4 linked regions of the Saccharomyces cerevisiae S288C genome follow. The protein of the gene in region 2 interacts with the protein of the main gene of each other region in a biochemical or structural test. Each region holds a gene or a part of one and is shown on either strand. Other genes may lie near its edges. The genes, in order: BET1, SEC22, GOS1 and SFT1.

Evidence for each region.
Region 1: the proteins of SEC22 (region 2) and BET1 form a complex in vitro, tested with the Saccharomyces cerevisiae proteins (4 studies listed by BioGRID).
Region 3: the proteins of SEC22 (region 2) and GOS1 form a complex in vitro, tested with the Saccharomyces cerevisiae proteins (2 studies listed by BioGRID).
Region 4: the proteins of SEC22 (region 2) and SFT1 form a complex in vitro, tested with the Saccharomyces cerevisiae proteins (3 studies listed by BioGRID).

The regions. Positions count from the first base shown.
Region 1 is NC_001141.2:347,364-350,449, reverse strand, and holds BET1 (Bet1p), read left to right. Parts: upstream 1-1,944; coding exon 1,945-1,955; intron 1,956-2,086; coding exon 2,087-2,504; downstream 2,505-3,086. Other genes in the region: CMI7 (Cmi7p), read right to left, coding at 1-149; iron-sulfur cluster assembly protein CFD1, read right to left, coding at 447-1,328; protein disulfide isomerase EPS1, read right to left, coding at 2,653-3,086. UniProt on the Saccharomyces cerevisiae protein: SNARE required for targeting and fusion of ER-derived transport vesicles with the Golgi complex.
Region 2 is NC_001144.5:678,584-681,451, forward strand, and holds SEC22 (SNAP receptor SEC22), read left to right. Parts: upstream 1-1,616; coding exon 1,617-2,261; downstream 2,262-2,868. Other genes in the region: BOP2 (Bop2p), read left to right, coding at 1-1,341; DCS1 (5'-(N(7)-methyl 5'-triphosphoguanosine)-(mRNA) diphosphatase), read left to right, coding at 2,603-2,868. UniProt on the Saccharomyces cerevisiae protein: Nonessential SNARE involved in targeting and fusion of ER-derived transport vesicles with the Golgi complex as well as Golgi-derived retrograde transport vesicles with the ER.
Region 3 is NC_001140.6:38,315-41,152, reverse strand, and holds GOS1 (Gos1p), read left to right. Parts: upstream 1-1,666; coding exon 1,667-2,338; downstream 2,339-2,838. Other genes in the region: ECM29 (Ecm29p), read right to left, coding at 1-1,069; GUT1 (glycerol kinase), read left to right, coding at 2,645-2,838. UniProt on the Saccharomyces cerevisiae protein: Involved in transport from the ER to the Golgi apparatus as well as in intra-Golgi transport. It belongs to a super-family of proteins called t-SNAREs or soluble NSF (N-ethylmaleimide-sensitive factor) attachment protein receptor.
Region 4 is NC_001143.9:429,640-432,568, reverse strand, and holds SFT1 (Sft1p), read left to right. Parts: upstream 1-1,936; coding exon 1,937-1,972; intron 1,973-2,113; coding exon 2,114-2,371; downstream 2,372-2,929. Other genes in the region: 60S ribosomal protein eL14 RPL14A, read right to left, coding at 1-136, 535-663; CAP1 (Cap1p), read right to left, coding at 2,461-2,929. UniProt on the Saccharomyces cerevisiae protein: Vesicle SNARE required for retrograde transport within the Golgi complex.

The sequences.
Region 1 (3,086 bases), on a different chromosome or scaffold from region 2:
ACTAACAGAGAGTCCATTTTCTTTTCCATTTCATCCAACTTAAGTTCGACTTCCGAGATTTTCTCTTCTCCTCCTTTTAGTAGGTTCAAAACATCTAAAATATCCTTTGCGCCTGCAGTACTGACATCTTCGGGTGTATCACGAGTCATATTATTGACGACGAGTGAAGTGTTCTGCGATTTCTCTAGAGTAATTGATTCAGTTGCTCTTTCTCAAAATTGTGTGATTAAATATTATTTCTTTGTCAATATTTACCCGGCCTTTTAAATTTGTATCACCACTTGAAGAACATGCTGCAGTTGCCGGTTAGCTTCTAACCACCTTTCGATATAGGAATCGAAATAGGAATCGAAATTTATTTCTAGGCCCAAGGATCAAAATATAAGTGTATATAAACACACACACACACATATATATATATATACGTACATGCATAGGAGAGGATCTTATTTTGGAGATTCTATCTGGGGTTGCTCGTGTTTATCCACAACAGGGGTTGTAGTGTCTTGTTTCCTCAGTTTCTTCATTATTTCTTCAAAAATGGGACAAAGAGATGATTCTCTGTACATTTCTACAAGCGTTTTTTTACTTGAAACTTGATTCTCAATCATTTCTACAAATTTTGGATCTATAGGAACGTTACCAAGGTATGGGACAGAAAATTGCTCCGATAATCTTTTACCACCCCCACTGGAAAAGATATTTGTACACTCAGCACAATGCGGGCATACAAACCCTGACATGTTTTCAATTATACCGAGGATCTTTAAATCGACCTTCTTGCAGAAATTGATTTCTTTTTTGACATCAGCTGTTGCAACACTCTGTGGGGTAGTTACTACAATACCACCATCTGGTTTGGAATATCTCAGCTCCTCTGCAATCGATATATGTTCATCCGACGTTCCCGGAGGGGTATCGATCAGTAAGTAATCCAGTTCACCCCAGGCGACGTCAGAGATGAATTGTTTTATCATAGAAGTCTTCTTAGGACCCCTCCATATCACGCTGTTCCCTCTATCACCTAGTAGAAACCCCAATGATATTACACTAAGAGAGCCAGTAGAGTTTGTCTCCACTTTCACAGGTTGCCAACCTTCAGGACCTTGATATATAGATTCGTTCTCTAGGCCAAACATCCTCGGTAAGGATGGCCCTGTTAAATCAATATCTAAAACTCCAACTTTGAAGCCCATACTGCAAAGAGTCAGCGCAGTCTGTGTCGTTACCGAACTTTTACCGACACCACCTTTTCCGGAAAGGATCAATATGATATGTTTTATTCCTGCCAAAGAGGCCGCAGGAACGCCTATCTCCTGTTCCTCCATGCTTAATTGTAATAGTCGTATTAGTTTTGGGTGCTCCTCGACGCATGTGTATAGTTTTCATTTTGATGGTGTAAAACGTTCATGACTAATGAAGCCTTCCGATTTCTTTCCATTTTGCTATTACTTGCGCGATGAGCCGTCTAATGTGATTCTTCCAAATAATATCTAATAAACCCATGGTGTTTACTCTGTGATAGGAACCAAAGATCCCGTAATTATCGCTTTGTAATTGTATTTCCAGTTATTTCTGTACATTCTAGGTTACTGTTCAGGGATATGTTTCACTCTTATCGATGTGGCGTGCAAAAAATTTGAAGGGGCGACATATCAGGGAAAGTATTAGTGATTTTTTATAATGTTGCACTATCTCAGATGAAATTTATGCATGCTAATTGGCGGATACTACTCTACCGTTGTTGCAAGCTACGTAGGAACGTTCACGGCTCTTTCTTCCATTAATTTTAAATTGCGAAAGTATCCAGTAGTTGTTAAAAATGGAGTTTTTTCAACTCGCGCCTTTTGCCAAGGAATGGTAGAAAACAAACAGTAGTTCACTTGAGACTGTGAATGTGTTAGAAAATGTGATTGAAGAGCCTCACAACACTAGGCTACACAGATGAGTTCAAGGTATGAGAAATTATTAGACTATTCTAAAGTTAGAGTAGCGCTTTTTGTTAAACATCTACCATAACACCTCGATATTGGGAGTTATTGACCACGAGTGAACTTCGTTTACTAACTATAGCGTGTGTATATAGATTTGCAGGGGGAAACGCTTATCAACGTGATACTGGTAGAACACAGTTATTCGGACCGGCTGATGGATCAAATAGTCTCGATGACAATGTATCATCAGCGCTAGGGAGCACAGATAAATTAGACTACTCCCAAAGTACTTTGGCATCTCTTGAATCTCAAAGTGAGGAACAGATGGGAGCTATGGGTCAGAGAATAAAAGCACTCAAGTCATTATCGTTGAAGATGGGTGATGAGATTAGAGGCAGCAATCAAACTATTGACCAGCTTGGTGATACTTTCCATAACACTTCTGTAAAACTCAAAAGGACTTTTGGAAACATGATGGAGATGGCCAGAAGATCTGGGATCAGTATAAAAACATGGTTAATAATATTTTTTATGGTAGGCGTGCTATTTTTTTGGGTATGGATTACATAAATATTTGCATATTGTACATTAAACCTAAGTGACAAAATAAGAGCGACGTTTGTTAGATGATTGTAGATATTGATACGTGAAATAAAGGATAGTTATGATAGCATCATAAGATATCAGCATTCTTTTATTTTTATAACTACTTAAGCGTTTAATCTTGATTTTTTTTTTTCTCCATATTTCCTAGGATACCGACAGCGTTCCTTTTCGCCCTATAGTGTTTCCTTACTTTGTATCTTCTGTAAATAGATGGACCTTTGAGTATTGCGATAAACAAAACAATAACAATTAAGTAACCGGGCATGCCGTTCCCGTGGATTATGTCTAGGAAACTGAGGACATTATGGAATGGAGAATTTATCAATCTCCCCTTCAACTTAGAGCTGTATAGAGCTTTTGATGGAATATTTAAGGACACGAATGCTTCTCTCAGCAATTGAGGGTTGTTAGAAGTCAAGGAGTTGCCAAAATTATCTTTATTGTAGTAGTAATTATTTGATTTATCAATGATAATCACATCACCAATTTTATATTCTCCAGTAATACCATATTTTCTAAAAAAATTCTTCTCCTTTGAAATATCTA
Region 2 (2,868 bases):
TTCTCAGATTTGAAACTCATAGAAACCTTCTTCCCCTTGGCGAATTCCAATTCAAACATAATCGAGTTCGTATTCTGTGTTCGCAATATAAAGAGTTCGTTTTATTCACCTTTGGAAAAATTACATATTGCGAACATAGTCGCAGATATTGATATTAACACATTGTATCTGGACTTCGTGGATTCAAATATCTATTCGGATCAAAATTTCTTTGGGATTTTTGATCCCGATATTTTTCAGCTGATTAATAAAAACTATAGAAACTTCTTTTCTAAGACTAACGAAAAGGGGAAGAAAAGACCCCCCATTTGCAAGAAAATCTGTTTTCCCTTTGTTGAAACATTGAATTTGGATTATATGGCCCTTGATTCATTCTTTAATTCGATACTGCATAAACTAACAACAAAGATAAAAACATTTGAAAGGAACAATGAGTTTGACGTGGATAAAAATTTAAATTTAAACTCGACAACGACAGTAGCAGCTTTAATTATCAAGTCGATCTTGCAACAATTCTTCAACAATTTTCATATCAGCTTCCCTAATTTGGTTACCTTGAATTTTATTAAGATGTCTACCTACCCAAACAATAATGAGATTACCCAATGTTGTAACTTCATAGATTTATCTTCATATGTTCTAAACAAATGTTTAAGTGAGAATATCTCGATAAATTTCCTCTTTCAGTTGCACTCTTTGAAAAATTGGTCAATGCCCAAGATTAAAGAATTCACTGGGCACAAATTCAAGTATGACGAAACAACATTTTCAGGTTCACCAGAAAGGTACATCAAATCATTGAGGGGAAACATTAAAATTTTGCAAGAAATGGCAATTAACGAAACCAACGATGGTACTTGCTATTTCAGAGTCAAGTTGATACCTGAGGGGGTAGAAAAAACTCAAATAATCAACTGGATCCCCTTTACTTCTTCATTTAGCGATGATACCTTCAAACAAAGACACCATTTAAAGAGGCCAATGATTTGCTTGAAGAACAACTCTTTAAGATCGCTCACTGTCAAAATCATACGTATTGAAAAATGTTCATCCATCCGAATCCAGGGATTTTACCTACCAAATCTGCAGGAACTGTTCATCAACAATACCCTTTGCGACACCACCCAACACCAAAAACAAGCGTCAAATGATATGAGTTGTATAGAGTTCACTTCATGGAATGAACTACCACAATGCAAGAAATTGGGATTTGCTCAATTAGAGGACGACTCTAACTACGTTCTTAATATCAGTAACCTACAAGACCATTTACCAAATCTGGACCTGCGGGAGAGTTTCCCAACTTTCTTCGATATAAGACAGAAGTTTGTCGTGGTTTGAGGTCTAATTTTCAACCAAACGTGTTGTACTAGCATATATAATTAAATAAATTTCTCTAGTTATCACTTGATTTATCTAATAAGAGACGTCATAAACGAATTTTTTTTTAGCAATAAATCCTCAACGCTTTTTGTTTTCATTTTTCGGTCTTTTTCTACCATAGAAGATAAACAAGTAGAGCCCATGTAATATAATATATCTACAACCTATTATTACCCAAAACCAACAAAAACCCTGACAGTGACACCCCGTTACACACTCACAATTAAGTAGGGATGATAAAGTCAACACTAATCTACAGAGAAGATGGGCTGCCTCTTTGTACGTCTGTGGACAACGAAAATGATCCCTCATTATTTGAACAAAAGCAAAAGGTGAAAATCGTCGTTTCCAGATTGACACCACAGTCTGCCACGGAGGCTACTTTGGAAAGTGGCTCCTTTGAGATCCATTATTTGAAGAAATCCATGGTGTACTACTTCGTCATTTGCGAATCTGGATACCCAAGAAACTTAGCATTCTCATACCTTAACGATATAGCGCAAGAATTTGAACACTCATTTGCTAATGAGTACCCCAAGCCTACCGTAAGACCATACCAGTTTGTAAACTTTGATAACTTTCTACAGATGACAAAAAAGTCATACAGTGATAAGAAAGTTCAGGACAATTTGGACCAACTAAACCAAGAGCTTGTAGGTGTCAAGCAAATCATGTCCAAGAACATCGAAGACCTACTTTACAGGGGAGATTCTCTCGATAAAATGAGTGACATGAGTTCTTCTTTGAAAGAAACATCCAAAAGGTACAGAAAGTCCGCGCAAAAGATCAACTTCGATCTCTTGATCAGTCAATATGCTCCTATTGTCATTGTCGCTTTCTTTTTCGTCTTTCTCTTCTGGTGGATCTTCCTCAAATAGACGTCACCCCATCATCCCACATCACAAATCCCGATCAATTTGGTCCAAGTGTATAACATAGTCTAGTTCAGTATTAGTATAGTATGGCAATTTATTTGACATAATTACGTATTTTTCAGGCAAGCTGGCAGGTGACCCGCCGCACCTGCACTTTTTAGGGAGTCTTTTCAAGGATATCATCACTATATATCGAAGGAAAAGAGGCTTTCCAACTCTTTTGGATGATCGAATTGCCATCACTACTCTATTAACTGTCTGTGTATTAACTAAATAATCACATAGTATTAAGTTATAATTCCTGGAAAAAAAAAGAAAGCGAAACGACAAAATTAGCATATACCATGTCTCAACTGCCAACAGATTTTGCTTCATTGATCAAGAGATTCCAATTTGTTAGTGTCCTCGATTCCAACCCTCAAACCAAAGTTATGTCCTTATTGGGAACCATTGACAACAAGGATGCTATTATCACGGCTGAAAAGACGCACTTTCTATTTGACGAAACCGTGAGAAGACCCTCTCAAGATGGCCGCTCCACTCCAGTTTTATATAATTGTGAAAACGAATATTCTTGCATCAACGGAATTCAGGAATTAAAGGAGATTAC
Region 3 (2,838 bases), on a different chromosome or scaffold from region 2:
AAGATCTAAGTTTATACTCAGATGAATGCAATCCAATAGAGCAAATCAACGAAATACATTCTGCTTTGGTGGTGGCGAAGTGACTTCTGTTTAATATGGACAGGATTTTTTCTTGCAAGATAGCCTTGACCGGCGGTCTTCCATTTGCTGTGTTGCCGATGTACAGCGTCTGAAGAAAGGTGATGAACTCTTCGTTTTCATAAGGCATGGGAAACCGTTTCATGAACTGAGCCGCATCATCAGATAAATTTGTAGAATCCGTAGAGACAACGCACAAAAATTCCATCAGTTCAATCATCCTAGGTGACTGCTCAATAGTTTGGGTAGCCGCCATGCCACGGCAAACAAATTGAAAAATAGCCTTTTTGAACTTATTCAGCTGTTCTTTGTTGAAAGTAACGCCCGCATCATAAGTAAAGAATGCCACATCAGTTAGAGATAGGCCCGGACATGTGTAACCTCTCGACAGGGGCTGTTGAGAAACCTGGACTTGCTTTGAAGGTACCAGCAGAAAAAACCTGGTAAATTGGCGCATCAAAAACGAAAAACCGTCGTTGTCCAGTTGAAGGAACTGAACAAATTCTTCCTGCTCATGTGAAGACTCCTGGGGTGCAACCCATTCCAAAATAAGCTTCAAAAGGATGTGGAACATTCTGGCGGCTACTGTGCCTGTTAGACACGAGATGTTCGAAACGACTAACGGTAGCAACTGCTGTCTATCTTGCAAGGAAAGCCTATCTATGCCTTTAGACGCCAGTAGCAGACTGTAAAGGCGGACATTGGTCGAGTCTTGTTGAGCGGCTAAATTGGGTTCCTTTGCTTGGACAATAAGCGCCCTCACAGGAAGCTGAACCTGGGGCAGCGTATTTATCCTAGAAATGAGGTTTTTTAAGGCTGAAAATACTGCTGTTCTAACGGAGGCATGTGGAGAGGCGAGTTTTAGTAATAATGGAGGCAAAAAAGTCTGCAGATTAGTTTCGAACTTTTGAGGGGAATCTGCGATAGCCAGGCGCAATTCTGCCTTCTCCACGAGCTGTTTTTCTTTCGCTTCGTCAGAAGAAATGGACATAATGTTGTTCGTGGTGAAATAGAAACTTTTCTATAATTATTGTATTATCCAATCCTGCACAAAGACAAAGAGATCAGTTATCGAGAGCTTACCAGCTTCTTTATATCAGGAAGTACCTTTTTTTTGCCACCAAGAAAAGGCATATGGATATACCGGGTAACACATAAATACCAAAACTCTGGCGGCTAAACTGGTAAAACCTGATATATACAAAGATCAAATAAGTATAAAAGCTTTCAAAGATGCTTATGAAAAATCTCACGAGATTGGTAGTTACTGATCAGGCACAAACTCCGCAGCCAAAACAATATTTTGAAAATATGTGAGCATTCAGCAAGAGACCTTCAACTGCTCCGAATGTGCATTTCACAGCAATGCAACAAAAGTCAATGACACTTGCAAACCCAGTGTAAGACGCCTACTCTTGTTCAATCAGTTAGTTATCTTTGTTCAATAGTGTGGTTGGTAACCAAATTTTCTAGGCGTTGTTGAAAATAAAGAGAACGAAAAACAAAAAAAAAGAGATAAAAAGACAAGGAAAAAATAAACTAACTAGACACAGGGAAAAGCCCAATTCCAGACAAGCAACCACACCACATGAGCTCACAACCGTCTTTCGTCACCATAAGGGGCAAGGCCATTTCTCTAGAAACACAAACGGAGTCACTTCTTTCCAAGTACTCCACATTCGCGCAGACAACTAGTTCAGAACAAACTGGCCAAGAAAAGAAGATAGACAAGCAGTTGGAGGGAATCTTAGGCCAGAGACAGGATGTAATCGATTCATTAACACAAATCTGCGATTCTAACCCGGCAATCTCCGCCTCAAAGCTTTCCCAACTGCACCGCCACAAGGAGATCTTACAAGACCACTGGAAGAGCTTCCGCAATATCAGGTCCTCCATCCAGCAAGAGCGCAACAGACTAAACTTGTTATTCAGCGTGAAGAACGATATTGCTAATTCCACAACGGACGCGCCAGCTCCTATAGGGGATGCTGACGAGTACATTCAGAACGAAACAAGGCGAATCGATCAGTCCAACAACGTAGTCGACCGTCTCATCTCCCAAGCCTGGGAGACTCGGTCGCAGTTCCACTCGCAGAGCAACGTGCTGAACACGGCAAACAACAAGGTGTTGCAAACTTTACAAAGAATACCAGGTGTCAATCAGCTTATTATGAAGATTAACACGAGAAGGAAGAAAAACGCGTTTGTATTGGCCACGATAACCACCCTTTGTATACTGTTTTTGTTTTTCACATGGTAAATAACGACTTTTATTAAACAACGTATGTAAAAACATAACAAGAATCTACCCATACAGGCCATTTCGTAATTCTTCTCTTCTAATTGGAGTAAAACCATCAATTAAAGGGTGTGGAGTAGCATAGTGAGGGGCTGACTGCATTGACAAAAAAATTGAAAAAAAAAAAAGGAAAAGGAAAGGAAAAAAAGACAGCCAAGACTTTTAGAACGGATAAGGTGTAATAAAATGTGGGGGGATGCCTGTTCTCGAACCATATAAAATATACCATGTGGTTTGAGTTGTGGCCGGAACTATACAAATAGTTATATGTTTCCCTCTCTCTTCCGACTTGTAGTATTCTCCAAACGTTACATATTCCGATCAAGCCAGCGCCTTTACACTAGTTTAAAACAAGAACAGAGCCGTATGTCCAAAATAATGGAAGATTTACGAAGTGACTACGTCCCGCTTATCGCCAGTATTGATGTAGGAACGACCTCATCCAGATGCATTCTGTTCAA
Region 4 (2,929 bases), on a different chromosome or scaffold from region 2:
CAGCAGCAGCCCACTTCTTAGAAACGGTAGCAGTTCTAGCACCTCTTGGTAGAGCAAAGGTCAATGGAGTTAAGACAACTTGACCCAAGTTGATGGCTTGACGTGGAACACCAGCTTTTGGACCGTCAATCAAAACCTATAATAATTATAACAAATAATTTAAAAAAATTATTCATAAAAGTTGTTAGTAAACGAAATTTTTTCAAAACGATGGAAGGCATGGTTTAATATTTGAGGAAACATGGTCAGGCTCTTTAAGAATTAACTGCGCAAATATGGGTCATCACCTTTCTGAAACTAGGTAAGCTGCTAGCAAAATAAATAAATAATCCACTATAGGCCACTCCAACAGGGAAATAAAGACTTTTTTGTATCTCTATCGCAATGTGTATTTTCACATTTACTTATCGTTTACAAGTAGCTTCATCCATGGTAACGGATTGGATATTTGCCAGCACTTTTTCGTAGCCTAAATCTCATTCCTCGTTCATTTCCCTCCTCAAATCGATGATAGGTTTTCCGGATTTAACATACCTTCTTTTGGTCAATAATTTCGACGATAGCGGCCAATTTACCTGCGGATTGACCCTTCTTGATCAAAACCACACGGCCAACTTCGACTAATCTCCAGTTAGAAGCCTTGACAATAGAATCGGTGGACATTGTTTATTTTATTTTTCACGACTCTCTTTGTTCACTAAGACAAACAATTAAATTTGTTATACAATCGGCAGACCTGATCAACTTAACCTTAGATTACTTTTTTTTCAGTTCAATAGTACTCGACGAGTACGAAGGGCAGTCCACTGAAAGCTCTACGCTCTCTCCGTTGCCAATTGGGCTGAGAATGGAAACACTGCGCGCTGAAGGGAAACCCGATTATGGAAAAATGCACGCAGCTGCAAGCAGCAATCTCTCGTAAACCGCTCTTTTCCGGGCGGAAAGTTAGGCCGACACCTGTTTGAAGCTTCATAAAATGCAAAATCGAAAAAAAATTGATAACGGACACTCAAAATTTGATATTTCACACATATTATGTATGTGATGTCAAGATGTAAAAATAGTGTATGGGTGTATTTGCGCTGTCAATTATTTTACTCAGAGTATAGTTACATTCTGGCAAGAATTTGCTGGTTTTGTCTTTTTTTACTTCACAACTAATGCTGGATTTTTTTATTTAAACCTAATTTCTTCAGTGAACTCCAATGTGTATTCATGTTTGATTTTAAAAGCTTCAATTTTAAAAGCTTCAATTTTAAATATCCGATGACTGTTAATCGCAGCTGCTAGTGAGATGACTGACAAAAGGTTCAGTAGAAACATAAAATATATAACAAATGTGTTGAGAATGATAGTATGATACAGTGGTATCATATTTCGTTCCTATTTGAGGTACCAGTAGTTCTTATCAAGAAGATTCAATGAGAAAGGTAACTGAATGATGATATAATTTGCGATCTAGGGCTAATCACTTGGAACACCGCCATGTTCTATATGGGTGATTAGCGAAGTGCGAAAAATTTTTTATCTGATATTTTCCTTGAACAATATTTCTAATAACACTTGCGTTGTTGCAACTGGCAGATTAACCATGTTGCTCAATATTCCTTCCTTGTATATGGGAGAACATCTTGAGGCAATGTTTAGAATTTAAAAATGTGTGCTCCCTTAAACTACGCTACTCAGAAAGGATCTTCGTGTGTACGGTAACTGACCAATGAATATTGTGCGGTAAGTATCTTATGTTTCTTGTTGCTGAATGTACGGTTCATGCAGTAAATTAGCTACTCTAGTTTTCTTGTTATTGCAAGAAGCCGCGCATTGCTACATGCAGAAAAAAAAAGAGGAAATAATATAAGGTATATCATTAAGAAGGATACTGGAAGAACTCAACAAGGAGAGAACGGTAGAAAGGTAATATATAATCATCATAGCGATGTCAAATTCTAGGTATTCTCAGACCGAATCAAACGTATGTAAATCACCGGCAACACGCATAGGTGTTTAGAATGGGACCTAGCTTGCTATATGGATGTTATAAGCTACTAACTATTGCTTCTGTACACCGGATGAGCAGATGTATCATCCCTTCATGTACATGTACTTTAAACAGAATGATAGGAAACTAGAGGGGTTAGCCAATAAATTAGCTACATTCAGAAACATAAACCAAGAGATTGGAGACCGAGCGGTCTCTGACAGTTCTGTCATAAACCAAATGACAGATTCATTGGGATCGATGTTTACCGATATCAAAAATTCGTCCTCAAGGTTAACCCGATCATTAAAGGCTGGTAATAGCATATGGAGAATGGTGGGTTTGGCGTTATTAATATTCTTCATTCTATATACCCTGTTTAAGTTATTTTAGTGAGCCAATCAAGCCAAAAATAAATAATGTACATAGATGTATTCAATTTAAGAAATAGGAAGAGAATGGAATAAGGCAGGCATGAAATTTCATTTGCCTTCTGCCGCATTCTTACCCAATCTATAACTGCCAATCGCACTACCCCAGTTAATTTTGGATCTCGTGACTGGTAATCTTCTTCTTAAGGCCTTAAACTGTTTTTCGTTCAAGTCGAAAAATGAAAGATCTAGATCATTTTCGAAATTCGTCTCAATATCCCTTATTGTGCAAACAACGTCATCAACGTTAGATTGATTGATATCCTTCCCAGATTGGAAACTAACGTTACCGTCTTCGTAATAGTGGACTTGCGTAGAGATTTGACCGGATAACTCCCTGGTCTCCAAATCGTAGATGTAGCTTGATCTCCAATGGCCGTTCCAGAAATTGTTTGGATTATATTTGGTGCTAACAATAATAATAGAAATTTTACTTATTTCCTCAGGGACTGGGTAAACAGCAAAACTGACATCACCTGGAAAGCTCTGAAGAAGATATTCGTGCAATTTATCGTGCAGT